Linked DNA regions of Mus musculus. The protein of the gene in region 3 interacts with the protein of the main gene of each other region in a biochemical or structural test. Links are inferred from orthologs where the notes say so. Each region holds a gene or a part of one and is shown on either strand. Other genes may lie near its edges.

Region 1 (10,317 bases), on a different chromosome or scaffold from region 3:
CACACACACACACACACTTGCTTGCACAGTGAACTCAGATTTACCAAGATAAAGGAAAAGTGAGGAAGAATTCCTTAGTGGGAAGGGCTCCAGGGAGGGATACTCTGATACCATGTTTTAAAGGCCTCAATGAAAAAGATTGATACCAGGCAGTGGTGGCACACACCTTTAATACCCAGCACTCAGGAGGCAGAGGCAGGCAGATTTCTGAGTTCGAGGCCAGCCTGGTCTACAGAGTGAGTTCCAGGGCAGCCAGGGCTACACAGAGAAACCATGTCTCCAAAAACCAAAACCAAAACCAAAAACAAGAGAAAAGATTGCTAAGTACATGATAACCCTGTGTTTTGAGAAAATATCACTAATCAAGAAAGGCAAGAGCTGAGAATGTAAGGAGGGAGGACAGGAAACATAAATGCAAACAGAGAGCCACCTTTGACACCTTCCACAGATTCCAAGCCTGAGAAGTGGAGAGGACACAGCCAAGGAAACACGAGACCCTCCGTCTGTGAGGAGACATGTCTGAGTGTCTGTGTCTGGCTGGGGCTCAGCTACAGTCCTCAGACAGACAATGGGCCTCACTGGTACCTACATGTCTGCATCTTCGTCCCTCCGGTTGGTCTCTGCAGAAAACGATGTCCCCAGGTGCAGATCCTCCTCTTCACTGACCCTGAGAGGAGGGAGCAGGTCACAGTCATTGATGCCAAGTTACCACAGAACACACATGAAAACATAAGACACAGGATGGTATGTAAAGAGACAATGCTAGACACATATGCAAGCAGGAAGGCAACGTCGGCTGAGACTTTGGGGAATGAGTGCATTTTTTTTTTAAAGATTGATTGGTTTATGTATGTATGTGAGTACACGTCACACTCTACAGACACACTAGAAAAGGGTACCAGATTCTAGTGAGCCACATGTAGCTCCTAGGAATTGAACTCAGGACCTCTGGAAGAGAGCAGTCAGTGCTCTTAACCACTGAGCCATCGCTCCAGTCTGAATGCATGCTTTCTTTTGCAAACTTTTATAATAGTTAAGTTTCTGTGTGTGCCAAGGTTGTGTCAGAGTGCCCTTCTTTTTAGCTTCTCCCCTTTGTCTCTTACTAACCCAGAGCTCATTATTTTGGCCACCGAGTCTCAGGACACTTACCCGATGCTGGGGTTACAGATACACGCTGTCCCACTAGGCTTTTATGTGAGGGTCAGGGATCTACCTCAGGCCCTCAGCTCTACTTGCTATGCCCTAGTTACTTAAATACACTTACACATTTTCTCAGTTGCTTTATTCAGAGAGGGTCTAGTGCAGCCCAGGCTGACCCTGGACTCCTAATCCTTCTGTTTCCATCTGCAGAGTGCTGGGTTGTCAGTATATCATTTTCTAACTATGTTTTCATGCAAAGCTTCTCCCCATGTCTGAAATAACAAACAAGGCCCTTTTACCCTTTTACAAAAGAATCTTCTCTCTTGGCTCTGAGCCCTCCTGGGAGTTTGTACCTTGGCACACTTATGGTATGCTCTATGCGGGATGTCCCTCCCTGTCCCTGCACACTCAGGCCCAGGCGACAGTGTCTGCACCCCGCTCCCCCCACTTACTTGTCTTTGCCCCGCTCCTTCAGTTTCTTCATGTCCACCATGCCCCCTGTCGCCATTTGGAAAGGATCATCCTGCAGAAAAGCACACAGCTTAGAGGACACATCTAGAACAACAGCAGCTCAGTTAGTGTCATCATCGAGTGTGCTGGTGTGCATGAACATGTATGTGCACACACGTGCAGGCCAGATGTTAACGCTGTGTGTTCTCATCAATCTTTCACCATGCTGCTGCTGTTGTTGTTGTTTTAATTTCTCTGCATGTATATGTAATTGTGCATATTGTGTGGTTGTGGAGGCAAGCGGCCAAACTCAGGAATCTGTCCCAATCACTTTCCACCTTAAATTTCAGAGACAGGGAGGTTACTGATTTGGGTGGACTGGCTGGTCAGCCAGCTCTAGACATCTATATGACTCCACCGGACCCCCTGGTAGGAATACAGATGTAAGCTATCATATATGGCTATTATGTGGGTGCTAGGAGCCTGACTCAGAAACAATGTTAGCACTTTAGCCTCAGAGCCATTTCCTCAACCCTTTGACTTATACTGAGAGAGAGGGTCTCTCAGCTTGCTTATTCCGCTACATTATCCTCTCTGCCTCCCCAGTGCTCAGATTATAGACATGTGCCACCATGCCTAGGTTTTTATGGGATGCCATGGAATCCAAACATGGACTCTTGTGCTTACATAACAAACACTCTGAGCTATCTCCCTGGTACCATGGTTATAGTCACAGGGGCTGGAGAGATGGCTCAGTAGTTAAGAGCATATGCCTTTAATCCCAGCACTTGGGAGGCAGAGGCAGGCAGATTTCTGAGTTCGAGGCCTGCCTGGTCTACAGAGTGAGTTCCAGCACAGCCAGGGCTACACAGAGAAACCAAAAAAAAAAAAAAAAAAAAAAAAAGCACCAACTACTCTTCTGAAGGTCCTGAGTTCAAATCCCAGCAACCACATGGTGGCTCACAACCATCTGTAATGAGATCTGACGCCCTCTTCTGGAGGGTCTGAAGACAGCTACAGTGTACTTACATATAATAAATTTAAAAAATCTTAAAAAAAAAAAAAAAAAAGAGGAAGAACAGCCCCAGAGAGGAGCCAACACTCACCACCAGAGTAGTCTCCTCTTGAACCTTCTCTCCTACCAGCAGGGCAGCCGCACTGAGCAAAAGAAACCAAACCACAGAAAGAGAAACAACACAGAGACAAGGAGGAAATCAGTGTGCTGGCTAGGGTTTTGTTGATCTGACATAAGCTGGAATTGTCTGGGAAGAAGAAACTTCAATCGAGAACCTGCTCCTGTGGACAGTGCTCCTCCCCGTGGGCAAGTGGGCCTGTGTTGTACAACATAGCTGGATGTGAATGAGCCAGGAAGCAGTGTCCTCCAGTCTCTGCTTCAGGCCCTGCCATGATTCCCCCAATAACTGAGGATGATCAGGAAGGGTACAAGTTGTTTTGGTCCTGGTCACAGCAGTAGGAAGCAAACTGAGACAATTGGGATTACATAACTGAGAGAGTAGTGGGCAGTAGTTACAAAAGCCAAAGAAGAACCCAGTGCTCTGCTCGCTGTGAATGGTGAAATGGGGGGTCGGGTGAGAGGCAATGAAGCAGTTGGCGCACGCTCCTGCAAAGCCATTTGATATTCTGGAAATCACAGAGTAAGGTTCTGCCAGTCAAGGGATCTGTATCAGAAGACATATGCCAGAGGAAAATTTATCAAAATGACCCTAAAACCTGAAGCCAAGGCTTGACAGGGACTGAGTAAGCACACCAGCACTGAGCTATCCCCACCATTTCTTGTTTACTTTATGACCCAGGTCTCATAGTTGCTCAGTCAGGCCTTAAACCTGTGATCTTCCCACACAGCTGGGACTACAGTGCTATGGCACTAGGATGGGCCTTGTTGATGCTGAGACCAGTTTCACTCTGCAGGCCCGGCTGGCACCAAACTCATGGTAATCCCACTGTTTCAGTTTCTCAAGTCTGGGAGTCTAGGTGTGAGGCAGCACACAATCCCAGTCAATCTGGTAGCAAGTTATAGTGCACACCCCTGGCAATGCACACGACGCAGCCTTCTAAAAAGGTTTTCTGGAAAACACACACCATGGTCAGAGGCTCACAGTAATATGATGATTTAACTCTTTAAAAGCATGGGATAAACTAAAAAAGAAATAGGTGGGAAATAAATGGAAATATTATTATAAATGCTGTCTCTCTACCTCAAGTTTTTTTCTTTTTCTTTATTCTTCTTATGAAGCCTAGGTTGCCCTCAAACTCCCTGTGATAGGATTGCACCAAACCAGGCTATTGTTTATTTATTATACTTTTTAACCTAAGTTTCCCAAATTCTTATCTCTTAACACGTTGTCAATCACAATTCATCAGTCCAGCTAAAATTTACAGTTAGTGACTTGGAGCAGACCCATAGACCATCAGGTTCAGGGCATGTGACAAACATTTATAAAGAACCTTAGTTCCCTCTATGATCAGTAGAACTGTATGTCAAAGGAGGGATTTGTGACTGCGACCCTAGCTGGAAATTTTTGTTTTAGCTGGAAATCAATGACGCCGCGACCACCCCCGTGGTACCCACCTCACCCCATTTGGCCTCTTCCGCAAGTTCTGCACCTCTCGGGTTTCTTCCAGTTTTAGCCTGGGGGAAAAAAAGGAATAAAAAGTGACGCACAGGTTGAGACCTGCGGAACTCAAAAGCCAAACTCCGTTCTAAGGACATGTCCCTTTGCCGAGTCCCTGATCCAGTGGTCATCGGCAGTCAGACCCATGCGACCCCGGGGCACCTCTCCCAGCCGCGATGTGGCCTTATCCCTAGGAGCCTCTGCGTGGCGCTGGCCGGTATCCAGTCCCAAGCCTGTCTCAGCAACACGTACCGAACCTCCTCTGATTCTTGTTCATCCTCCTCCGACTCCGAGTCAGCCCGGCGCCGGCGGAATGTTTTCCCAGTAATCCGCATAGCGGAACCAGACCCTTGGCGCTGCGTTACCAGACGCGTAGTCCAGGGAACCTCTCTCTTCCGGCGCGCAGAAGTGTCGTCAGAGCGTCGGCTGCACTCAGACCCGCCTCCGCCTTGCCAGGCCACACCCCAAGCCCGTAGGGCCCCGCCTCAGCAGGGCAGGCAACCACTCCGAACTCCGAAAAGCAAGGGCAGGTATTGCCGCGTGGCCACACCCTCGACCACGCCCATCGAGTAACCATGCTCACCGCTCAACAGGACGGCCTTCGAACCACACGGTGAAACCCCAGCAGCACGGCCACTCCCCCGACTCCCGGCATGCTTGGGCACTCACCACTCGCACGGCCACGCCTCCGGCGTGCCCGGTACCGCCCTCTAGTAGGCTGTGACCTGTGACACCGCCCCCGCTCCTGGCATAGGCTCTCCCGATTGGACGTCTGACGGTGAGGAGGCGGGGCGTGGCAGGCAGAGCCACAAGACTCTAGGCAGCGCCGCGGTGGGCTAGCTTGACTGACAGGCGGCGCGGTTGCGACGGCAGGTGAGTTTCTGACGGCTGCTGCCTGCTGCCGGGGGCTGGGCCGCTAGAGCGGGGATCATCGTCCAGCCGCTGGGAGCAGGGGAGGCCTGGCTTTGCGGGGCGGCCAGGACCTGGTAAGAGGTCCCCGCCGCCTATCATCCCATCACCGACTCCCGTGCCCGCCCCGAACCCCCACGGCTCTGGCTTTTGAGCAGGCCGCACGTCGCTTGGAAGGCCAGCAGGAGGCCACTCGGGCTCCAGGGCTCGGACGTGCACATTTATTCCTCACTCACAAAAGCTGATCACCTTGCCGGGGGTGAATATCAGTCCCGGTGCTGACTGTCCATACCAGGTTGGCCTGCAGCCATTCGTCCCTAGGAGAGGTACCACTGACGTTCAGAGGCCAGGGACTGCTCTTTGAGAGCTTGGGAGGACTCGTTTGGCCTGGAGGACTGTCGCTCTGCCATAAGCACCTTACACCCCCGAGATGTTGCGACGGTAGTTAGTTTTTAAAGGTGTCTATAAACACTTATAAGATGGATAAGTGCATGCGTAATAGCTCACATGGGACTTTTAGGGACTCCTTAATTACTAGTTTCCTCTGGAGCACAGCGCTTCTTACTCGACACTTAACTGTGGCAGGCACTGGGGTAAGCAGTCTCTTCTAGAAGCCTTCCATCAAATCCCACGAAGTAGATGCAGTTGGGTCTCTCTTTCAAAAAACGAGGCTACCGAGGCGTAAGAGAAGTAACCCGTACTTCAAGTTCTGCAGCTGGGAGGTGAGGCTGGGTTGGGGACAGAGCTTTCACAGCTGCAGGGTGTGCTTCAGGGACAGCGGGCCTCTGTGGGTCTTCCCTGCTGCTGCTGCAGCTGGTGTGCCAGCTTATGGGCTGGGGGAGGGGCTGATGGACACTTTTTCCAGAAGACTATTCTGAAGCAGGGAGGGCATGTCTGCCATGCCTTGGCTTTTTTCCAGAACATTTTTTTTTCTGAAGTTGTCATATTCCCCTTAGACTGGGACAAAGAGAAAACTCGGGATGTCTTGAAACAGCCTTTTAGCTTTGATCAAAGAGGCATTAAGTATCAAAAGTCTTGACCCCACTGGAGATTAGATCAACCATCTTCAGATGTCGATGGCAGTCATTGGACACCATGTCTCTGTTGGCTGAAAAAGAGGCACCTTGGGAACTGCTGCATGAATCCAGGGACTTGGGTGTACAATTCTCACAGGCTCAGAGGTGGCTCTTAATTTCCCTGCCTAACCATGCCTTACCCCTTAACCTCTAGGGTACTGGGCCTCTCTGGTGCCTCCAAGGAAAGTCACAAGGTCAAGAGCATTTTGAGACATTCCTCATTTGAAGATACAGAGAGGGACATCTGATACAAACAAGTTGTCCCTTGTTTGTATCTGCATTCCCATCCTTGAAGCCAGAATGCCAGGTGATACCAACTCCCTGGGCTCTGGCAGACGGAGTTGATTCTCGTTTGACACAAGTGCCGCTTGGAGTGTGGCAGCTGGAAATTTGACCTAGGTGCTGGATACAGAGACTGCAGTCGCTCTGAGTAGTGTTTTTGGAAGTAAAAGTGCTCTGGAAAGGAGCCTCCAGGAAAGTGAGGGGTCTCAGATATTAGTCTGGCATGACAGGTGGGATGGGTGCTGACTTTCTGCGGAGCTGGATGGATGCTTAAGGAGCAGTCACATCTGGGATGGCCTCGTCATGGTAAGCATTCCAAAGTGCTTATTTGAGTTGGGTAACGATGGCACGTGCAGAGGCAGGCAGATCTCTGTGAGTCCCAGGACAGCTAAGGCTACCCAGAGAGACCCTGTCTCCAGAAACCAAATAAAAATAAATAAATAAGAAAAAAGGAGAAGCCTGGCAGTGGTGCGCACACCTTTAATTCCAGCACTTGGGAGGCAGAGACAGTCGGGATTTCTGAGTTTGGGGTCAGCCTGGTCTACAGTGAGCTCCAGGACAGCCAGGGCTACACAGAGAAACCCTGTCTCCAAAATCCAAAAAGAAGAAGGAGGAGGAGGAGGAGGAAGAGGAGGAGAAGGAGAAAAAGAAGAAGAGGAGGAGGAGAAGGAAGAAGAAGAAGAAGAAGAAGAAGAAGAAGAAGAAGAAGAAGAAGAAGAAGAAGAAGAAGAAGAAGAAGAAGAAGAAATAGTAGTAGTAGTAGTAGTTCAGGGACCTGGGCCACAGTCTACGAGGGGACTCTTCAGAGTCAATGGAAAGGAAAGTACATTATAGGTTTGGGACTCTTTCCAGGCTAGCACGATTTTTTTTTCCTTAAAAAACAAAAACAAAGCCTTGCTGGAGCTAGGAGGTGAAGATAGGCCCTGTGTCCACTGGCTGGCCCATTTGGGATTTTGGAGCCACAGTTCTTTTAGATCACTGACTGCAGAGCAGGTCTCCTGGGTTTTGTCGTGGCTCTGGGGTCCTGGCTCCGTGACTCGGCACCTTTCCCCACCATTGGTGATGGATGGGTTGCATCCTGGCCTTCCAGGGCAGTATTGGGAGTCCTTCGAGGTCATTCTTGGGAGAGCTCGAGACTTGGAGCTGTTAGCAGAGCTACTAAGGTAGGGTACCTGGTAGGCAGAAAGACCTAGAGGTGTGAGAAGGGGGTAGAGATGCCACACAGCTTAAGAGTCAATGGGAAGCCGGGCATGGTGGCGCATGCCTTTAGTCCCAGCACTTGGGAGGCAGAGACAGGCAGATTTCTGAGTTTGAGGCCAGCCTGGTCTACAGAGTGAGTTCCAGGACAGCCAGGGCTACACAGAGAAACCCTGTCTCGAAAAACAAAACAAAACAAACAAAACAAAACAAACAAAAATAAAGAGTCAATGGGAAGTAATGGGACAGGGAGGTGGACGGTGTCTGGAATTTGGGGGAAGAGTGAGAAAAGGAAGATGCACGTGTCAGCAAGGGGCGTGGCGTTCTGGTTAGGGGCTGTGGTTGGCCCATGCGAGGATCTGTGAGTGGTGGCTGAAGGAACCTGTGTGGGCGGAGGCTCGGCAGAGCCACTTTCAGATCCCAAGGGTGACTCCCTGGGAGGCGGAGGAATATTACCAGAAGCTCTGGGGAAAGTGATGAGTAATGGGCACCTGTGGCTGCCAGGCCTTCAAGTGAGTGCGCAGCCGCGGCTGCCCCTCCAAGGCCCCGCCCCCAGCCGGCCCTGAGGGTGGGGCTCCCTGGTTGCCTGCTAGCTGTCCTTGCAGGTGCTTGCATCTTAACTCAGGTCTCAGGGCAGGAGAGGCGGCCTCTTTGCCTCCGTCCTTACTCTACAGCTCTAGAGGTGGGAGTGTGAGAGCAGCTGCACAGTGGGCCGTGCTGCTCTTCAAGGGGCCTGTACCCAGAACCTGGTACTTTAATGGAGATGAGCCTCATTCTCCTGCCTAAGCTGATATTGGCCTTTTTTCTTTATTTTCCATATCTGCATTTCCTAATGTCACTGCTGCTGAGTCATGGAAAAGTAAACACATTCTGGCCCCTTTATGCCCAAGTATCTCAAGCAATCAAATCCCCAGAGAGAGGAAGTCACCATAAACAGCCAGCCTGGGTTTCTCCTGCAAAACTTTGCAGTGACCATTCTCCAAGGCCACTGTGACAGAGCAACAGGTGGGCCTGCTGAAACAACTGAAAGTAAGGCTGGCGAGTTCTGAGCTCAGAGCTCGAGGTGAAGGTGGTGTCAGATAGCACCTTGTGCTTGTGGCCATTGCTTCTTTGTGCTTGAGGCTCAGATATTTACATCCCACTCGGCCCTCCACAGAGACCTAGTTTTTCTTTAATTATCTTTCCCAAGTCCTTACCTCCAATTGCCCACCGACTCTAGGTGCTGGTGCTTCGAAAGGGTACTGCGGAACAGTTCAGTTGTTAGCAGTGCTGGGGAACTGCTCAGTCAGGACAGTGCTTGCCCAGCGCACATGAGGACCTGAGCTTAGTCAGAGCTCCTGTGGAAATGTGTGTGGTGTATGCCTATAAATCCTGGTGCTGGAGAAGGGGAGATTCCTGACCAGCCTGCTTAGTCAAGGAGCTTCAGGCTCTGGGAGAGAAACTGTCTCAAGAAACAAGGCGAACAGCTCTAGAGAAGTGGCATCCAAGGTTGGCCTCTGGCTTACACATGTGCACCCTCATCCCTGCCCCAGATAAATTCTTTAAAAACCTGTTATCTAATGTGCACTCCAAATGCTAGCTTGCTTATTGTTCAGGGATGTTTTGCCCATCTTCTTTTAAGAGAAGAGGGCCACCTGTCCCCTCCTCTCTCACTTTCCTCTCTCCTTCTTTATGTTTGTGGTTTTAGTTTTTGTTTGGGGATTAAAAGCATATGTCAGCACACCCAACTTCTCTGTTGTTTTTTTTTTTGTTGTTGTTGTTGTTGTTGTTGGTTTGTTTGTTTGTTTTAGGTTTTTTTAGTTTGGTTTGTTTTTTTTCGAGACAGGGTTTCTCTATGTAGCCCTGGCTGTCCTGGAACTCACTCTGTAGACCAGGCTGGCATGGAACTGAACTCAGAAATTCGACTGTCTCTACCTCCCAAGTGCTGGGTGTGCACCACCACTGCCCGGCCCTGGAACTCTTTTGTGCACCAGATTGGCCTGGAACTCCTACCTCTGCCTCCCGAGTGCTAGAATTTAAGGCTTGTGCCACTGCTGTCACCACCAGGCTGTTTTTTAAAGATGTATTTTTATTGGTTTTTTGTTTGGAGAAAGGGTTTCACTGTGTATCCTGACTAACTAGAATCTATTTCTGTAGACCAACCTGGTCTCAAACCCAGAGTTTTACCTGCCTCTGCCCTCTTTCCAACCCTCAAGGATTAAGGACATATGTCACTACACCTGGCAGAGGTAAGAGGTAGCCAGTGGATCGATTATTGGACATGGCTTGATTACATAGGTGGATATGGCGGGGGGGGGGGGGGGGGACACTGTTCCTACACATAGTCCTTGCCCAGTGATAGCGGATAAGTTGAGCCTAGCGCTCTGTTGTTTCCACCGGCATGTTGCAGCTTCATCAGAGTGGTTGACTGCCTTTATAAATTCCATGCCTTCATAGTAAGGGGGTGCCACATCATACCAGAGCCAGCATGATTTAGTGGCTTCAGGGTTAGTGCTATTAATAACCCTGAAAGCCTCTTGGACTAGATGGGTCGAGTGAGATTGCTCAGGCGGGTTGAGGGGAGCAGTCTCAATGACTCTTTTCAAAGGGGTCTCAGTACCATGCGAATGGGGCGGTGGTGATGGTCTGGG
Region 2 (10,420 bases), on a different chromosome or scaffold from region 3:
TGTGATCTTATCTGTCTTCTGAGTTCCAGCTGTATGCTACCATAGCGAGGCCTCAAACAAGGTTTCAGTACTAATTACATATCAAATGTGTTCTTTTTGTTGTTTAGTCCAGGCTGGGTTAGAATTCATATCAATCCTCCTCACTCAGTTTCTGAAGTGATGTACACAGGCACCATGCACAATTTAATTTTTTAAGTCATTTCAAAGAAAATAAAATGAAGGGGCTGGTGAGATGGTTCAGTGAGTAAGAGCACTGACTGCTCTTCCGAAGAGTATTTCAATTCCCAGCAACCACATGGTGGCTTATAACCACCCATGAGATCTGACACCCTCTTCTGGCACGTCTGAAGGTAGCTACAATGTACTTATTTATAATAATAATAATAATAATAAATAAATAAATAAATAAATCTTTGGGCCAAGCCTGGACGCCTTTAATCCCAGCACTTGGGAGGCAGAGGCAGGCGAATTTCTGAGTTCGAGGCCAGCCTGGTCTACAGAGTGAGTTCCAGGATAGCCAGGACTATACAGAGAAACCCTGTCTCAAAAACAAACAAACAAACAAAAGAAACAACAAAAACAAATCTTTGGGCTAGAGTAAGCAGGGTTTGAGTGAGTAGGGCCAACTGGAGTGAGCAGGGTTGACCAACAACCAGATCAAGGCTCACAACTATCTCTACAGCTACAGTGTATACTCATATACATAAAATAAATAATTTTAAAAAAGAAAAAATTAAAAAGTGAATATAAAAAGACACTGTTAGGAGGCTGAAAGTCCCATATTAGTCATATATGATGAGGGTACTGCACTGGTTGTGAAGGCTATTCGGGATCTAGCCTATATATATGCTACTGTTTTATAGCTCATATTAAGAGTATAGATTCCTCGGCCAGCAAAATCACTCAAAGGGTAGAGCGACTACCAATGCCAAACCTGCCGCCTTGAGCTCAGTCTCTAGACCATCGATATGGTTGAAAAGGAGAAGGGACTCCTTCAACACATCCTTTGACCTCCACATTCACAATGGTATGTCAGCACCAACACATACACAAATAAATATAATAAAGAGAATAAGATTTTTGTAGTTAAGCCCACATAGGCAGTTGTAGTGTAGGACTTTGCAACTCACCTTCCCAGGCCTCTAAGCATGACTATGTTGAAAATGAAAGAATTATAAAAGCTCATGTGGTCAGGCAATGGTGGTGGTGCACGCTTTTAATCCCAGCACTTGGGAGGCAGAGGCAGGAGGATTTCTGAGTTCAAGGCAAGCCTGATCTATAGAGTGAGTTCCAGGACAGCCAGGGCTACACAGAGAAACCCTGTCTCGAAAAGCAAAACAAACAAACAAACAAAAGCTCATGTGGGGCTGGAAAGATGGCTCAGTGGTTAAGAGCACCAACTGTTCTTCCAGAGGTCCTGAGTTCCATTCCCAGCAACCACAGGGTGGCTCACAACCATCTGTAATGGGATCCGATGCCCTCTTCTGGGGTGTCTGAAGGCAGCAACAGTGTACTCATACATTAAGTGAATAAATAAATCTTTAAAAAAAAAAAAAAGCTCATGTGGTTATTTAGGACTCAATCCAGATTTTCATATATTAATAGAACAGTGAATTAAAAAACCCCAAGGCTATAGGAAAGGAGCTAAATGCTGCTTGTAAACCACCTCAGGCAGTGGACAGAGAGCTCTGCAGATGAAGGTGCATTTCCACATTAGCTTAAGCTTATGGTTAGTTCTAACTGAATTTTATTTGATGAGGCACCAATTTCTATAGGCCACATTTTTTTAAACCATAAACATGTTCTAGTTCTTTAGATGTATTGTAAACTGTTGCATGTTGGACTTATATTTATTTTAGAATTTAAAGTTTGGAATTTAGACCTGCTGGCAGGTGAAATACTAAACTACTGTAACACTCATCACTGACCCAGATTGTGTGTGTGTGTGTTTGTGTGTGTGTGTGTGTGTGTATTTCCAATTGTATACACGATGATGGTGGGGGTAGGGAATGGAACTATTTTAGACTTAATAACCAACTGCTGGTACATTTGAGCCTAAAGTGGTTTCTTAAAAGCTTTGCAGAGTTGACTGCCTAGGATGGATCAATTTAATGCCATCCTATGAGTCTAGGAAATGAAAAGGCCTAGTGTTACTTTTCAATTACCAAAATTAGTTTTCTGTCTTAGCTGAGGTAAACAACAGTCTACTAATAATTTTGTGACCAATAAAATCGGGTCTTACAGTTGCAAGTGTATCCACTGATGTAGATGAGAAAAATTCAGAAGTTAAAGTTAAAATAGGAAAGCCGGTCCATCCCGGTAGTGAACGCTTTAAATCCCAGCACCTGGGAGAAGAGGAAGGTGGGTCTCTGAATTCAGGGCCAGCCTGGTCTACATAGACATTACCTGATCAGTCATCCAGGGCTTCAAAGTGAGATTCAGACTCAAAAAATAATACAGTCAAGTGATGGTTTTATCCCCCACCCCAGGTTTCTCTAAAAATATAATTACTATAATTATAGGGGTCGTTACAGGGGGTTATTTTGTTGGCTTTGGTCTCCACCATAGTTTTCCAGTTTTTTCAAAGAGTGAACTTATGCCTCGGGTATGTTAGGTAAAATGTTTTAAAACTGGGACTGACCATGTAGTCTAGGCCTTGGAGTTACTATCCTCGCTTTTCCTCTGGAGTCTAAGCATTACAGGTCTGCTTGTCATGTCCAGTAAATGAGTCTCCTTGCCTCCCTTCCTTTCTTCGATGCCTGGGAATCGAACTAAAGACCTTGGGCATGCCAGGCAAGTTTTGTATCACAGACCTAAATCCCCAGCCTAAATGAGGGTTTTTATGGACACCTTTCTTAGTCACCGTATAGGTATGTTGGTTTATTCTGATGGGAGGCTTAGTTGTCTTCCTACTCAAGCGAGATTACCGGCATTCTTTGTCTCCCCCAACTCCCCCGTTTTATGGAATAACAATAATAATATTACTCTGGTCAATTTTCATAGACTCAAATATAGCTAGGTTATTTCCAGGTCACACATAAAAACGTTAAATCCTTAAAAAAAAAAAAAAAAAGAAAAAAGAAAAGACAAGGTAAGACAAAACTTTCTTACCCACTTCACTGTTCGACTTCTGGAGCCGGTTCAGAACGAAATGCATGCAAAAGTCTGGTTGAAACGACAGGAAATCCACCAGAGGGAGATGCTTGCTAGACAGTGAGAAAGAAGCTCCCGCAAGGGGCCTGGAGAGGAGCTTTGGGAGGAGCTGCCGAGATGGCCCAGGATTCCAGGAGGTGTGTGTAGTTTGGAGCTGGTGTCAGAGACCAACTGATGGAAGCAGCTACGTTGGGCCTACTACCTGCTGCAGCGAAGGGTTTACCTGGCCTAACATTGTAAACTAAAGGCCTAAAAACATTTCCAAATGAGAAAACGAAGCTCCCAACCCACTTACCAACAGTCCCCGAAGAAATGGGGGGGGAAGGGGGGTATTTAAAGGCACTTCCGCTTAGCAACCCCACGCTGTTGCTAAGGAGGGGCCGCAGCATTAACGACCCGGAAGTGGTGGTCTGAATTTCACAGCGACGACAGGGGTTTGTCCTATCAGAAGAACGAGGATGCTCTGCGGCTCCAGGAGGTGGGTGGGACCTGCATTAGTACTTCCGGCTTGGCTCGGCCGCCCCTCAACTGGTCTTCCCCCTCCCCTCCGCCTCCTCCGCTCCCTCCGCTCCCTCCCGCTCCTGGGAAAGCAAAGCTGCGGCTTAAGGGGTGGTTGAGAGAAGCAGTAGGCGCCTCGGGGAGGGGACCGCGCCCGCCCCCTTGGAACACTGGAGCACCGCTGATTTAGGTAGGTACTCTGGCTTCGACTGGGTCTGGGAGACTGGAGTCTGAGATGTGTGTGTGTGTGTACGTGTGTGTGTGGGGGGGGTGGGGTGGGGGCTTTAGGAGCCCTTCGCTGGGGCGGGGCAGTGGACTCGGGAATCCCGGGTGGGGCGCGGGCCTGTCCGTGGAGGGTTGCGGGGGCGGGACAGAGGGACCAGGGTCCCTGCGTGCAAAGAGTTGCGGGTTGCGGGTTAGACCCGGTCGCAGGAGGCGCCCTTTCTGAAGCAGGGACTTCGGCCAATGCAGACCGGGAGTTTCCCACCTGGAGTGCCAGCTCCGAAAAGAAGGGGGAGCATCATCCAGGGCCGAAATCAAGGGTATAGACTTGGAGAGGTGACTGTGGTCATCCTGTGCTTCACATTGTCCGCGTCCCGGACTCTCTGTTGGGACAGAGCCGGGCTTCGAGGGCTTGTAAGGGTTTCGTGTCGGCTGGGCACCGTGGAGCCGCCCTTGGCAGAGGTAGGGCAGAAGAGTGGGTAATGAGACCTCCCTCCACCCAACTTCCGTGCGCTTCCCCCGCTTCTTCCTTTATTGCTCTCTCGGCAGGGCGCCCTATAGGAGCGTTGTCCCCTAAGTGGGTACGCATCACGTCGTAAAACAAGAGTGTGAAACTGGGTTTGTTGCCCCCGGATGATTTTTCGGATATTTGCAAAGTGCCAGAATGGCATATTCTAGCAGTCTCCCAGACCGATATGAGTCTGGTATGAATTTTCTTAGAAAATGCAATACTGGAAGGCATCTGACTATATTCAAACGTAGCCTTGTAAATGAGCATGCTTTAAAAAAACCACTAGGAAATCCATATTTAGAGGTCTAGATGAGACATGTTTAGGCAAGCCTTTTTCAACCTCTTTCTCACCTGCCAGTAATCCTTTTGTGGTTTAAACGAATTAGAAATGCTATCTTCATTTTGTTTAAGTGACTGAATTGTAGGAAGTATAGTATATGTCTTAGAAGAACTAGTGAACATTTAGAGAGACAAGGGACAAGAGTCCCTTTCCAATGATTGAACTCTCTCTTAATCTTTTAAGGAGATAATTATGTTCAAGTGGAAGTATTGGCTTTGAGAAAGATAATTCTGGGAATGAACCCGCCTTTGCCTCTTAACTAGTTGTTGACTTTGGTCAAGTCACAGACTAACAGTTTCAGCCTCTTCACAAGGAGGAATTAAATTCTAGTCAGTGTCAAAAGAGAGGTGATTACTTATATAACTCCATTTAAAACAAGCACCTTTGAATTTCAAGGTTGTCATTAGTCAACATAGTTAAGGGAGCCCAACTTAGTGGAAGGGGATTTTTGAAAAAGAAACTGATAATATTCAAATAGTATACGGCAGGAATTCGAGGTTTGGGTTTTTTGTTGTTGTTGTTGTTGTTGTTGTTGTTTTGTTTTTGTTTTTGTCTCACACACACACACACACACACACACACACTCACGCTCTGGCTGGCCTGGAAGTCACTCTGTAGACCAGGTTGTATTGTACTCACAGAGCTCCGCCTGCCTCTGCCTCCCCAGTGCTGGGATTAAAGGCATGCACCACCACTGCCCGGCTTTATTATTCTTTATTTTGTAGTTCTGAGCATTCAGTTCAGAACGGTCTCACACAGTTTTCACTATTGAGATACAACTTTAGATCCTAGAAATTGATCATATGTAGCATAAAATGCAATTATCAATAGTTTCCTAAAGCCCATATTAAGTACAATATGTTTATTTTTTTGAAATGACCAAAGTACATTTTATAGGTTCTTCTCAGATAATCTTTATGCTGTTAGATATAGCATGGATTGAAATAAAAAACATAAGTAACTTACTTAAATCTTAAATCACGTGTCTTCTTAATGGAAGTTAAACTTGGGGCATAAAATAGTAATTGTAAGGTCAACATCACTTGCATGACCCATCTTAGATTATAAGATTAGCAAAACTTAGTTTTGTTTTGTTATTTTGAGACTGACTTATCATGTAAACTCAGGCTGGCCTTGATCGTGAGATACTCTTTCCCCTGGAGTGTTGGGGTTACAGCTGTTTGATAATTCACTTGACTTCTAGAAAATTCTTATATAAACTATAAAATGAATAAATGAAAATACAATAAATTCCTCCTTCTAAATCATTAGTAATCAGAATGTAGAAATGATTTTAGAAAATGAAATATTGACATATGCTTACTTGCCTTGTGGATTTAAAATTGTAGTTCTTTGTAGCCTGTTTGTTTGTTTGAGACAGGGTTTCTCTGTGTAGTCCTGGCTGTCCTGGACCCTTGGTAGATCAAGATGGCCTTGAACTCACTGAGATCCACCTGTTTTTGACTCTCAAGTGCTGGGATTAAAGGCATGTGCTTCCAAACCCCATTTATTGATGGATTGGTTTTTCCTCTGTAGCCTATTATGTTGGTCTTTTCTTTTCTTTTTGGAAAAGGGTTTCACTGTGTAACCTTGGCTGGTTCAGAAATTGTTTTGTATAGCAGATTTACTTGGAACTCACAAAAATCCGTTTGCCTCTGCTCCCCAAGTGCTGGGACTAAAAGCAGGCATCATCACAGCTTCTGTTGGATTTTCGACTAACAGGTTTTCTTTCTGGTTAGTAATCTTTTATATATACTTTAGTTATGTACTTTTATTTTATGTGCATTGATGTTTTGCCTGCATGTGTCTCTGTGTGACATCTTGGAGTTACAGACAGTTATGAGCTGCCATGTGGGTGCTAGGATTTGAACCTTAGTCCTCTGGAAGAGCAGTCAGTACCTTTAACAGCTGAGCCATCTCTTCAGTCCCTGTGGTTAGTTTAAAACATTTCAAATATACTTTATATTCAAAGGGGCTGAATATAATAACATCCTTTTTTTTGTTTTTGTTTTTTGTTGTTGTTTTGTTTTGTTTTTTGAGACAGGGTTTCTCTGTGTAGCCCTGGTTGTCCTTTGACTCACTATGTAGACCAGGCTGGCCTCGAACTCAGAAATCCGCCTCTGCCTGCCTCTGCCTGCCTCTGCCTCCCAAGTGCTGGGATTAAAGGCGTGCGCCACCACGTCCGGCTAAATAACGTTTTAGAAGCAGGGTTGAAATTATGTTTTGCTCTGATTGAGGCTTTTTGGTGTGGTGATTCAAATTTCCAAATGGCGTTTTTAAAGGGAACATTCTTAAATTCATATCTAGGTTTTTTGGCTATGTTTTTTGAGTTGTTATTTTTCATTACTTAAAGTTGAAGTTATGTTGTCTTGCTAGCTCTCAGCACTGTCTGTCTTTTACCTGTCTTTTTATAAAATGTTAATCCATTTATTTTTCATATAAGGAATAGGATAATAGCTATTTGGTGTGAAAATTCTGCCTAAATTATATGCCACAAATACAAAACCATTGGATATACTTTCCCTAGTGATCTCTTCCACAAGAAGTCTGTGACCAAGCCAGAGATCTTTGCAGTTGTCAGTTGTGGAATTTGCTGGTGAGGGAATCTAAGAACTGTTGACCCTTCTTGAACAGCTCTTTGATGATGTTAAAAAGTTTAGGCATAATAGAGGAGATGTGTATAAGGACATAGACACATACATTTGTACATATGCACAATATAGTAAAATCATAGAATCAGCACAATAGTTAGTTATGTTGTGGTGCTGTTAAACCAGGAGCAAAAGAATTACTGTGGAAATGTTAAAAATAAAAAAAGTCCAGAAACTACTTTGTTTTTACTGTAACCATGGGACTTTTCTCTCCTGAGCTTGTTCCTACCTTATACCGTATTTTATGGAAATGGTTATTTAGCTTCTAATTAAGTTAAATAATCTTTATATTAAGGCTATTAATTTTTAATATTTATGTTAGTATATAAAATAACCTTTATATTAAGATATAAAATAGAATGTAGTTAGATTTTAATGTCACCAGTTTGGTAGTAACTGCTTCAGTGGCTTTACATACATAGTAGACTTTCCTGGAAGAACTTTGGATTTGTAGAATGATAGTTTTTCCTTCACAGCGACTCTATCCACTGGGGCCTAATATAGAATCTCCGAGAAGCTGGGGAGAGGAAAAGAGTGAATTTGCTTGAGAATTACCATTTTAAGTTTTATAGATTTCTTATTTAGAAAGCTAAATTGGATTTTGACATTATTGGGATTGTGTTCAAGATGGACTCAGGGAAAAAATGAGTTGCCATCTGTTTCACATTCCTTCTTTCCTCCCCCTCCCATGTTTTGTGGCTTTGAATTCATCAGATTATTTTTCAAAAATACAAACCCTCAGTAGATTTAGATTATATAATATTAATACGTAACTAAATAACATGGATTGTTATGTTGCGTTATATAGGACAATAATAGACAATGCATAAAGGTAATTGTTGAATTATTTAATGTTCTGGATTTGGCTTCAAATTTGCTATATAGTCAAGGCTGGCCTTAAACTTTTGATCCTCTTGTGTTATCTTATAAGTGCTGAGATTGCAGGCCTGTGCCACCAGATCTGGTATTGCTAAGCCATTTTTGTCATTTCCACTTACTATAGTTTAATTGCTGGTGAAAGCTATGTTTTTTTTTTTAAGGAGTATATTAGAATAAATGGTGGTATTAGAATAAATCTTTATTGATTCGGTAGATCACAACCTGAAAAACAAAAGTCTGCTCAGAATTTTTATTTAGTGACAAACACACTCTAATTTATACTTGTAGCAATAGTTTTTCCTTACCTATATACCTATGGCTTTGTTTTAATCTAAAATGTATACCCAATTCAATTTGGATTTTTTTGACAGGCAGGTGCAGGGCACATTTGAATCTAAATAAATGCCAAGCAGGGGCAATTAGGTTTCCAGAACTGAGAAAAAGCATACTTTGCTGAGTATAGTAGTTGGTACTTAGCCTGACCTTAGAGACCCAGGTATCTTTGATAGGCTGTAAAGCAGAACTAATGTGATATCCCAGAAATGGCCTGAAGAGAGAGCCATCTGGACAGAAGAGACTCATGCTTTGTCTCCAGCAGGAATGTTCTGGTGAGGTAGGAAGACAGATGGACTATCCCTACACCACTGTAGTTTGTCCCTCACTTAGAAGCTTCAAGTGGGCAGCGTAGTTATGTGGGGCTGGGATGCCAGGGATAGTAATTTTTTTTTTTTTTTTTTTTTTTTTTTTTGCCTGTCACAGTGGAGGTGTGGACATTCTGGGAAACGATTCTCTCTTGGCTTTTATAGCATGGCCAGAGAAGGAGGGTAGACACAATAGCTGTTCCTCTTTCACCAAAGAGAATTAGGTACAGCATCTCTCTTAGAGTGCTTGGGCGGTGCTTAGTGCTTACCACAATTTGATGTCTTCATCAAAGTGCTGCATAACTTTTCTAGGAAACAGCATTGGATCTGTGTTGATTTCTGCCCCACATAGCTCCTACTCTAGTAAAAGAACTTGCGGGCCTCTCAATGAAAGTGTTATGGAGGTACATCTCTCTTCATAGTTTTGAGATACTACTGGTCACCAGTGAGGAAGGGTGTGTGTGTGTATGTGCACGATGCACACTTGAATGGCTATGATAATCAGATTTAATTTCTGATTCCTAAATCACTAAAGATTACAGTTTCTTCCAGCTTCCCAGTTGAATTTTTTGTCCATTTCCCAGTGGTCATCCTGATGTAAGATGCCAGTGAACAGAAGACTGGTGGATAGCAGGAAGATGGAGTATTTTTTCTTTTAGTTTTTTAGAATTTCTTTAGTCCAAAGTGATACCATCTGCCCTGTATTGTATGATTGTGAATGCCTTGCTGTGTTTTCTTGTGTGTGTTTCCAGTTCATTACTGGGGGGGTGTGGGGGTGGTTTTGAGGCAGGGTTTCTCTGTGTAGCCCTGGCTGTCTTAGAACTCACTCTGTAGTTCCAGGCTGGCCTCGAACTCGGAAATCCACCTGCCTCTGCCTCCCAAGTGCTAGCATATTAATAATTTTTAACAGTTTAGACTTACAGAATTATTGAACAGATAGTATAGAGAATTCCTTTTTTTAATAGTTTTGCCCCATATTTTATGTTAGTGCTCTGCATTTCTTACAATTAATGAATCAGCATGAAGGTGCATTAAAGATAACATAATTATCTTTCAGATAGTTTTGCCTTGCTTGGTTTTGAAGGCCTTTAGAAACACCTATCATTTCAGTTTCTTTCTCCCACCCCTCTTGTGAGACAAGGTCTAACTCTGTATCCCTGGCTGGCCTGGAACTCACTATATAGATGAGACCAACTTTGAACTCAACCCGCCTCTGCCTCCTGAGTGCTGGGACTGAAGGGCAACACCATACAATTTGGTTTTCCCTTTCCTTTCCTTTCCTTTCCTTTCCTTTCCTTTCCTTTCCTTTCCTTTCCTTTCTTTTCTTTTCTTTTCTTTTCTTTTCTTTTCCTTTTTTTTCCTTTTTGGAGAAAGACTTTCATGTAGCATTTCTCAAATGCTACAGTATAGATGTGTGTTCACATATGGAGGCCAGAGCTCCAAGTTGGCTATCATCAGTTATTCTCTATTTGTTTTAATTAGCTAGTTTTATGTGCATGGATGTTTTGCCCGCATGTGTGTCTGT
Region 3 (9,720 bases):
AAGTTCTCCTTATGTAACCCTGGCTGTCCTGGAGTTCACTGTGTAGATCGGTGCTGGGATTAAATGCACGGCCACTGTGCCTAGCTTGAAAGATGACCTCTTAGTCAGAGATATATTGTATTTTCCCTCTAAATGCTAGGCTTCCTGGAGAGTTCCTTCAACGGCCATTAGTCTCCAGGCTTCTCAGGAATGTTGCTGACAGTTCATCTTTGGTTGCCATTCTTTTTTTTTTTTTTTTTTTTTTTTTTTGGTTTTTCAAGACAGGGTTTCTCTGTAGCCCTAGCTGTCTTGGAACTCACTCTGTAGACCAGGCTAGCCTCGAACTCAGAAACCCCCTGCCTCTGCCTCCCAAGTGCTGGGATTAAAGGCGTGCGCCACCACTGCCTAGCTGGTTGCCATTCTTTAAGGACTGATTTGAAAAATCTCTGCAGTTAAATAAGTTTAACAAATACTACCTCTGGGGGTTAAAAGACCTGGTTATATTCTAAAGTTACACAAAAAAGTTAAAGTGACAGGTGACAAATGAGAACCCCAGCTGGATCTTAAGAGGATGAAATGACAGGCCAAAAGCAACAATATAAATCTAATAGAGATCAATATGACGTCCTGACATGAATGGAAAAGTCATGCACATGCTATAAGCTACTGGATCTTTATCAAATTACCTTTGTGAAACTGCTTAAGATTATGATACTATGGATATGCTATGAGGGAAAGTAAAGATGCAAAGTGAAACACACAAAGAAATTGTTTAAATCCCAGATGTTATGAGGAAATGTACTACCAATGCTTTCACACACATTCTGGCCAATTGATATCAACAGTTCCCTCCCTGCTTTCCTCCCTCCTCCCCCCCATCCTTCCCTTCACGTTTGTGGTGCTGGGGATAAACCAGAACCTTACACATACTATGCAGTGCTTTACTATTGAGCTTCACTGCCAATCCCTGTCCATCTGTCCATCCCTCCATTAGCTTACCCACCACCCACCCACCCACCCACCCACCCACCTATGTTTTTAGTAGTATGTGGTGGAGATTAAGCTCAGGGCCTCATTCATACAGGCAAGTCCTCTACCTATATCCCCAGCTCATACATTCTTTTGAATACTCTAAAAGTTTTACTCTCATGAGTGACAAATATTTTAAATATAAAAAAATTAAGCAGGCCATTTGTCTGAGACGAGAATCAAGAAAACCAGGAATGACAGACTTCATAGGAGCAGTTCCTGCCAAGGTCAGTTATCAGCATAGTCTTAGGGCATAGGGACTGACTCAGTTCTCCTGATCTTGGGTCACATGACTAATACCCATCTAACAAACAGCCAGAGCACACCTGATTAGAGAGAGACTATTCCAGGACACGATGAGAGTAGGAAGCAACGCTACTGAAATGTCATTGGGTCTGGGAGGAATTGAGAGATATTTGGTATTGATGTCACTTAAGGAAAATAGAACCATCTTTGAGTACGCAAGAAGTAGCCACAGAAGCCAGGCGTGGTGGCGCACGCCTTTAATCGCAGCACTCGGGAGGAAGAGGCAGGCGGATTTCTGAGTTCGAGGCCAGCCTGGTCTACAAAGTGAGTTTCAGGACAGCCAGAGCTACACAGAGAAACCCTGTCTCAAAAAAAACCCAAAAAACAAAACAAGAAGTGGCCACAGAAGGGTTTTAAAAAACTTATTCATGTGCATATGTGTGCCATGGCACAAGTGTGGAGATCAGAGGAAAACCTCTGGAAATTGGTTTTCTGCTTTCATCATGGGATCTAGACTGCCTTCCTGGCAGTCAGGGTTGCACAGGAAGCACTTTTACCTGCTCAGTCACCTCATTTGCCTCAAGGCCATGAAGGACTGGTTTAAATGTTAATCTCGAAAAGCAGAAACCAAACCAGCAAGTTTATTTAAAAAGGTAGCAGGCTATACCTCAACTTGGGAGAACTGTCTAGAAGCTGGACAGAACACCTACATTTGGCGCTTCATCTTCTCAGACTGCTTCAGGAGCTCTTCTTCATCATCCTCCAGGTCCAGGGCCAGCTCTTCATCATTGGAGTCACTGTGTTCATCCTGCCACGGCAGAGCAGCAAACTCAGTTACACACCGACAACAGGGATCACAGTAAGGGAGTGCTGCCACGCCTTAAGCACGGAACAGAGTCCTGTGCTCTTTTCCCTGTTCCTAAACTGTTTACTTTGTAGACAGAGTCTAGCTGTGCAGCACAGGCTGGTCTTGAACTCACAAACCTACCTCAGCCTCCTAAAGCACTAGGATTTCGGGCACATGGTCCCAGGTTTGAGCTCCAGCGCCATGAGACAAAACCAGAAGGCAACAAGAGGGTTTATAAAGTTCTGTCCCCACGCCTCAGCACAGGACACTGCTTCTGGTAAGACGCTAAGCTCAGTTCTCAAGAACGAGGGCAGGGGAGCACCGAGTGGAGCTTGGTTGTACTCTCTCTGCACTCACCTCGTCACTAGCAAATCCATTCTCCTTTGAAACAAGCTGGAAGTCTCCAAATTCCTCCTCTTCACCCTCTTCCTCCCTAGAGGACAAAACACTAAGTTACTGAAAGCACACCACAAGCAGCCAGCCAAGCTAAGGACTTAAGACACTCATCAGCACCAGAAATTTCTTTTAAGAAGCGGGAAATGAGGTATTTTGTCTTTTTAAAAAGGTGTTTTGAGCCTGAGGGCTAAAGCATTTACCCTGCTACTGTGAAAACTGGAGTTTTGACCCCAGAACCTGCATCAGTGCCAGCTTGGCAGAGTGGCCCACCTGTAATTACAGCCTCATAAGGCAGAGATAAGGATGCTCAGAGTGGACTGACTAGAAAGGCTAGTCATCCCTGGGTGTAGTGGTCCAGGCCTTTCATTCCAGCACTTGGGAGACAGAAGGAAGTAGGATCTCTGTGAGTTTGAGGCTAATCTGGTCTATAGAGTGAGGTCCAGGTCAGCCAGGGCTACAGAATGAGACCTAGTCTCAAAACAAAACAGAAAAAATTACGTTGAGACTATTATATAAGCAACCTCCGAAGTCCTTCAGGTAGTAAAAACTCTACGCCTATTAGACAAATCTTCCTCTCTTTCTCCAGCCACCATCTAATTTCCTGTCTCTGTCAAACTGCTTACTCCAGTGACTATATAGGCAGACTTATACAGTACTTGTCCCTCAGTGACAAATGTTTCTTGTTCCTAGCATATCGTCACGGTCCCTCCATGGTGAAGCATGTGTCATACTTCCCTCCTATTGGCTGGGTTTGATGTACACACTTGGTGGATGAAGCAGAGGATTACTAGTTTGAGGTCAGCCTGAACTAACAGTGAATTCCAGGCCAGTATGGGCTGCATAGGAAGACCTGGTCTCAAATAACAAAAACAAATTTCCTTCCTTTTAAAGCCATGTAATGCATATAAATTCTATTTAGCAGATGTGCTGGCTAGTTTTATGTCAACCTGACACAAGCTATAATCATGGAGGAGGGAGCCTCAATTGAGAAAATGCCTCCATAAGACAGAGTGGTACGCAAGTGTATAGGACATTTTCTTTTTCTTTTCACTGTATTATTTTACACTCATTGGTGTTTTGCCGGCATATATGTCTGCATGAAGATGTCAGATTCTAGAACCCTAGCTATAGAGAGTTGTGAGCTGCCATGCAGTTGCCAGGAATCGAGCCCAGGTTGTTTGGAAGAGCAGCCAGTGCTCTTAACCACTGAGCCACCTCTCTAGCTCCTGTAGTGCATTTTCTTAATGAGTGACTGATGGAGGAGGGCCCAGCCCACTGAGGTGGTCCTGGACTGGTGGTCCTGGGTTCTATAAGAAAGCAGGTTGAGCTAGTCAGTATGCACACTCCTCCATGGCCTCTGTATCAGCTCCTGTCTTCAGATTCCTGCCCTGCTTAAGTTTCTGTCTTGATTTCTTTTGATGATGAACAGTGATGAGGAAGAGTAAGCTAAATAAACCCTTTCCTCCCCAATTTGCTTTAAAAAAAAAAAAAGACTTATTTATTTATTATATGGTGAGTACACTGTAGCTGTCTTTAGACACACCAGAAGAGGGCATCAATCTCATTACAGATGGTTGTAAACCATCATGTGGTTGCTGGGATTTGAACTCACAACCTTTGGAAGAGCAGTCAGTGCTCTTAAACACTGAGCCATCTCTCCAGCCCTTCCAATTTGCTTTTTCTCGTGGTGTTTTATCACAGCAACAATAACCTTAACAAGTCAGCAGCCACACTTCCTCTTTATTTTGGCTATTATCAAATTATGTTAAACACAAATTATAAAAACCTGTTTTATTCATTTAGGTATAAGAAAGGAGTAGCAGGGCTGACCTCACCCTTCTTGCCTTCATTTATTTATACATTTATTTATTTACTGTGTGTGAATGTACAGGCATGTGCATCTATAACTACACACGTTATAACTACTATACTACATAAAGAGGCCAGAGGTCAACTTGTAGAGGTTGGTTCTTTCCCACCTCGTTAGACACTAGGGATTGAACTCAGGTCTTTAGGCTTGGTGTCAAGTATTTGACACTGAGCCACTTACCTGGCCTGAACTTGATTTTCTTGCCTGTTTCTAGACTATTGGATTCTAAGCACATACCACACTAGGCTTTCTGAGGTTCTTTTTGAGGTAACAGGCATGTGCCACCACTCAGACTTCTCTAGAGCCAAAGTGGAGCTGCTGGATCAGATGGCAATTCTATTATCAGCTCTGAGAAACCACTGAACTTGTTTCCCTAGCAGCTCACCAAGAACAAGCAGAGGTTTCCCTGATCTTTGCCAATACTTAGTTTATATAAAAACTGTAGTCACCTTAAAAGATCTGCCTTTCCCAAAGTTACTTAGTTTGTTGCTAAACACAGAGAACCGGATCCTAGGATTGCTTAGTTGGTTGTTTTTTTGCTTTTGTTTTCTCGGTGTATCCCTGGCTGTCCTGGAACTCAAGAGATCCGCCTGCCTCTGTCTCCAGAGTGCTGGGATTAAAGGTGTGCATCACTATGCCAGCGGATCCTAGGGTTTCATCTTCCTGCGTTCCCGACAACCTTTGAGACTCACCTGTCTGTTGGGAAAGAGCCGGAGCAAAGAGCAAGTGCCTCTTCCATCGGATCTTCTGTGCTGCTCTCCTTCTCCTGACTCCTCAGCCCCAGTGGGGCCACCGGGGAGGCATCTACCTCAACAAGGAAAGGCCAGTAAGGAAGGAAACGCCACCTCTGCTCTCCTGGCCATCTATGTACCCACCAGCTCAATTCAGTTCTTAGGTGGGATGTGGAAAAGTTCACCATCCATTCTTTCAACAAATCCTTCCTCATATTTACTGTGTGCTGAGCCCCAGGAAGACAGTCATGAACAAAATGAACACCCAATTACCTCAGAGAGCCCACTTCCTGTTTCAGCAAGCATGCAACGTTTACTCCCCACCAGACACTGTTCTAACCTCCGTAGAGAGATTAAGTTATACACTGTGATGCTGAAGCTAAAGCAGTCCTAAGTTGACAGTGTCACTGTAAAGGTGAGGAAGTGGCAGGATTCCATCCCATCCCTGTTTTCTGTGCACTTACAGAGAGGGGGCAAGAGCTTCTTTCCGGGGACGGTGACATGAGCTGACTGAATTCTCGCTGTGCTACCTGGACTCTCGCAGAACATTTACCTTGAGTAGGAAATTTGCCCGAGCAGAGATTCAAAAGTTCCTCCATGTTTTCTTTTTTGTCATTCTTCCTTGGTTGACATTTCTCCTCAGGCTGAGATGTAAACTGTCCAGTGCACAAATCCAGCAGCTCGTCCATGTTGGCGTCCATGGCATTCTCGTCCATGCTGGCCAGTGGCAACTGGGGCTTCACAGCCTGATATCGATGGCGGTGATTTCTAATGTTTAAAAATCTACGAGTACAGTGAAGTGTCGGAAATTACCCAGAGGAGAGACAAACGACAGGTAAAAACCTCCTGACTTCCAGCACCAGGGTTAGAAGCTGAACGTGGCCAGCAAGACCGCTGAGTGGGAAAGGTGCTCGCTGCAAAGCCTGAGGCGTTCAGTTCCATTCCCAGAATCCACAAGGTAGAGGGAACTAACTTCAGCAAGTTGTCCTGTGACCTTCTCATGTATACGGTGGCTCATCTGTGCTCACACATGTACACACACAAGATAAACAAAATGTAATTTTGAAGAATTATAAAAAGAAAACCAAGAAGCTAAATGTGAAGATCTCAAATTTCAAGGTGAAGGGACTTAGAATCACCACGGAAACACATCTCTGGGTGTGTCTTCAAGGGATTAGCTAGATTAGATTAAAAGAGGCAGGAAGACCCACTCTAACGGTGCGTGGTACATTCCATGGGCCAGGGTCAGGGACTGACTAAACAGGAGAAAAGAAGATGAACATCACTCATCTCTTTCTTCTTCCTGACTGTGGGGGCGATGTGCCCCATGCCTGTGCTCCTGCTGCCATGACTGCCCCGCTGTGACACACGATGGCCACTGGAACCAGTACTCAAAGTAAACCTCCTTTTTTAGAGGCTTTCTCAGGATCTTGTCAGAGCCACAAGACCAGTAACTAACACTGGGCCTCAACCCAGGCAACAAGTTTAGCCTCATGCTAACCTAGACAGGGAGGACGGGCAAGGTTTGTCAAAAGGTGAGGTATAAAGACTAACTTCTAAGGTATAAAGGTGGCTTCTAATGATATATCAGGGATGGGTACTATATCCTAATCTTACCCAACAATCAGAACACAAGGGGATGAACAGCGAAAGCCCTTATAATACAAGGACTGTGTATATGAAATGAGATCAGAGAATAGGAATGCCAGCAAGGGGTATTTACATTTTATTTTCTGGAGACTTCGTTCAAACTCGTGGAATATAAGACTAATGGCCAGGACACCTTCTCTTTCTCAGAAGAGAAAGCGCAGATGGAGTGGCAGAAGCTCATTTTATTTTTAAACAAAATTAAGCAGCACCCAGCCTTATTCCCACCCACAGAAACACAAAACTACCTACCCATCTGCATCCAACAGTTGGCTCTGAGTGTCATCTTCCAAACAGAACTGGAAGTCTCCTGCTCCTAGGAAAAGTGTCTTAGGCTCTGGGGAGGCGGTGTACAGATCCTGGGAATCCTCTACGGGAAGTGAAGGCTCAGACAGTTTTCCTGAACTCTGGCACCAAAACAAAAACAAAAGCAAAACATTTCACAAATGCCATCCAGTGTCACCACAACAACAGAAGTTGCTACTTGCAATATGTCATCCGCTCTCAAGCAACCACAGTGAGGAAGACAATGTACTGTCAACAGAACCCGAGGAAAACTACCTGTAAGCAAGAACGCCTGCTAATACACGAAGCGGGTGGATTTCTAAAGCTGAGCACCTCGGTGGTGGGAGTTGGTTGGCTGGGACGCACTCTATTTAGCAATGTGGGCAGTGAACAGAGATGAGAACAACTCTCCCCGCCTTACCTTAGAAGCCGAGCTGATCAAACTCCCTCGGAACAGCCCAGGGGACGGCGATCTGAATCCTGCTGTAGGGAGAAAACTTGCCCCACGGCCTATCTGTCTGTTGCAAGGCTGATAGGATGGAATTGTGGAACCAATCAGCTCAAAGCTGCTATTGTGACTGCTCTCCTTTGTTAGCAGTGAACTCGAGTCATCCTCATCTAAAGGAGAGGAGAGAGGTATCATTCTGAACACAGGAACGAGGTACATTTGTTTAGAAAAGAGAGCAGAGAATCGAACAGGTGAAATTCACTGGCAAATCACTTAAGTTCTAGGCTCCAGGTCATCCTGACAAGAGTGTTGTATACTTAGGGCTCATTACTCTGAGCTCAGTGACACGCGGACACTCTCTTCCTTCTCTTCTGTCTAAATACATACTTCTCTGTGATCTTTGCATAAAACTATCTCATGTGTCACTCAATCAACAAATCAACACACACCCACTCAGGATCCACCCTATGTCCATGGTCAACTATAGACATGCAGCCCAGGGCCTGGAGGGCCCTTACTTTCTTACAGACGACCCAGGTTCAATTCTCAGCACTCACATGATAGCTCACAACCATCTGTAAGTCCTGGTCCAGGACCCTCTCCGGCCTCTGTGAGCACCAGGCACACACATTCACACAGGTGTGACACTCATGCTCACAGAGTAAAAGTAAGTCAATGTTAAAAAAATAAACAAAAAATGGGCCATGAAAACCATTTTAATTCATAAATCCCTGCCATTGCTACATGTAAGAATGTGCTATTAATAGAATAAAAAAGGAAGGAAGAAACTTTTGAGAGACTATGGCCTTTACATATCAGAACTAAAGAAACGTTCTACATAAGGATCACTACTTACCCAGTTTGTCAGACTGCTTGGCCAAGTATTCATCTGTTTCTGACTTTTCTTCAGTAGGAAAGTAACTACAAAATAAAATAGTAAACTGCTGAGTTCTTACTTCCTATTCTCTTGTAAAAAAAATTCAAGGATGGGCTGGAGAAATGGCCCATAGTTAAGAGTGCACACTGCTCTTCTAGAGGTTCCAAGACTGGTTCCCAGCTGCAGTGGATCCAGTGCCCTCTTCTGGCCTCCTCAGGCACCTACACTCGTGTGCGCATACCCGTGCACAGACACACTCACACACCTTTAAGAAAGTCTTCAGAAATCCAAAAGAATTTTGTATTTCCTTATAAGAACTTACCCCATCTTAGAAGAGCTGTCCTTAAACAGAAGTAAGGTGGAGTCTGAAGAGAGAGGCTTGGGGACACAGAGGGCAACAGACTTGCCAATGTCACTACTGGTGTCTGTATTTTCTTTATCTGTTTCTTTTTCATCTTTGGTTTCTGTATCTTCACTACCAAGAAGATATTCTGTAGTCTATGCCAATCATGTAAAAATAATAATAATACAAGTCAAAAAATGTTAAAAGTAATTCCACACCTAGCCTGAAATGTGGATTCTTGGTTATAGGCTACAGCTCAAGCCTGAAAAGGTGACTGGAAACAAACTAAGTCCAAGCACTATCAGTAATCTCACTCCTCTGACAGAGTGGGTTTTTTTCTTTTTCTTCTCTTCGTTTTTCACACAGCATCTCACCACATGGGCCTGGGTCCCTGACTAGTCTGAACTCACTCTGTAGACCAAGCTAGCCTTGAATTTACAGAGACCAACCTGCCTCTGCTTCCTGAATGCTAGGATTAAATGTGAGTGCCACCACACCTGCCTAGCTTTTAGAGCTTTCCATACTCCTCAAATTGCTACAAAATTATGAAGGACGATTATACTGGCATGTTACTAAGGCAGTAGGAAAGTAGTCAGCCTAGAGGAAAGATGACTGTGCATCCTAGTCAGGCACAGACAATACAATGTGCTGCCCAGCTCAGACACTCCCTGCTCTTTCTTTACTCAGGGTTAAGGACTTACAATGTCTTTCAACTGAAAAGAAAGCTCTTTTCACACCGAATAGCCATATAACGGATACCAGCCTTCCCTGAGCTGCAAAGCTACTATGAGACAGGGCCAGAGGTTCTTCCATAAACACCCTCCTTTACTAAGAATGGGACGAAGTTAGAAAGACCTCCTGCCTGAGAACTTTCCCTGACCTCAGCCTAAAGAAGAACAATTGCTTTTCAAACTCAGTCAATGACAGTCAGAAAAGTCCTTATTAGTAAAGTTATTTTCAATATAGCACTATATCAAAATACATAAACTAACAGGTAGAAACAGGACACACACAGCTGTGAA

What was found.
Region 1: of the proteins of Clspn (region 3) and Usp20, one has a biochemical effect on the other in vitro, tested with the Homo sapiens proteins (2 studies listed by BioGRID, with this or other methods). The link is inferred for Mus musculus from reciprocal best matches to the Homo sapiens genes CLSPN and USP20.
Region 2: of the proteins of Clspn (region 3) and Csnk1g1, one has a biochemical effect on the other in vitro, tested with the Homo sapiens proteins (2 studies listed by BioGRID). The link is inferred for Mus musculus from reciprocal best matches to the Homo sapiens genes CLSPN and CSNK1G1.

The regions. Positions count from the first base shown.
Region 1 is NC_000068.7:30,977,303-30,987,619, forward strand, and holds the start of Usp20 (ubiquitin carboxyl-terminal hydrolase 20), read left to right. Parts: upstream 1-4,976; 5' UTR 4,977-5,096; intron 5,097-10,317. Other genes in the region: BC005624 (telomere length and silencing protein 1 homolog), read right to left, coding at 590-667, 1,593-1,663, 2,697-2,748, 4,181-4,240, 4,476-4,558.
Region 2 is NC_000075.6:65,905,328-65,915,747, forward strand, and holds the start of Csnk1g1 (casein kinase I), read left to right. Parts: upstream 1-3,682; 5' UTR 3,683-3,841; intron 3,842-3,960; exon of another isoform or gene 3,961-4,335; intron 4,336-10,420.
Region 3 is NC_000070.6:126,573,774-126,583,493, reverse strand, and holds part of Clspn (claspin), read right to left. Parts: intron 8,854-9,720; coding exon 8,678-8,853; intron 8,400-8,677; coding exon 8,335-8,399; intron 7,649-8,334; coding exon 7,452-7,648; intron 7,153-7,451; coding exon 6,998-7,152; intron 5,882-6,997; coding exon 5,652-5,881; intron 5,172-5,651; coding exon 5,060-5,171; intron 2,535-5,059; coding exon 2,459-2,534; intron 2,063-2,458; coding exon 1,965-2,062; intron 1-1,964.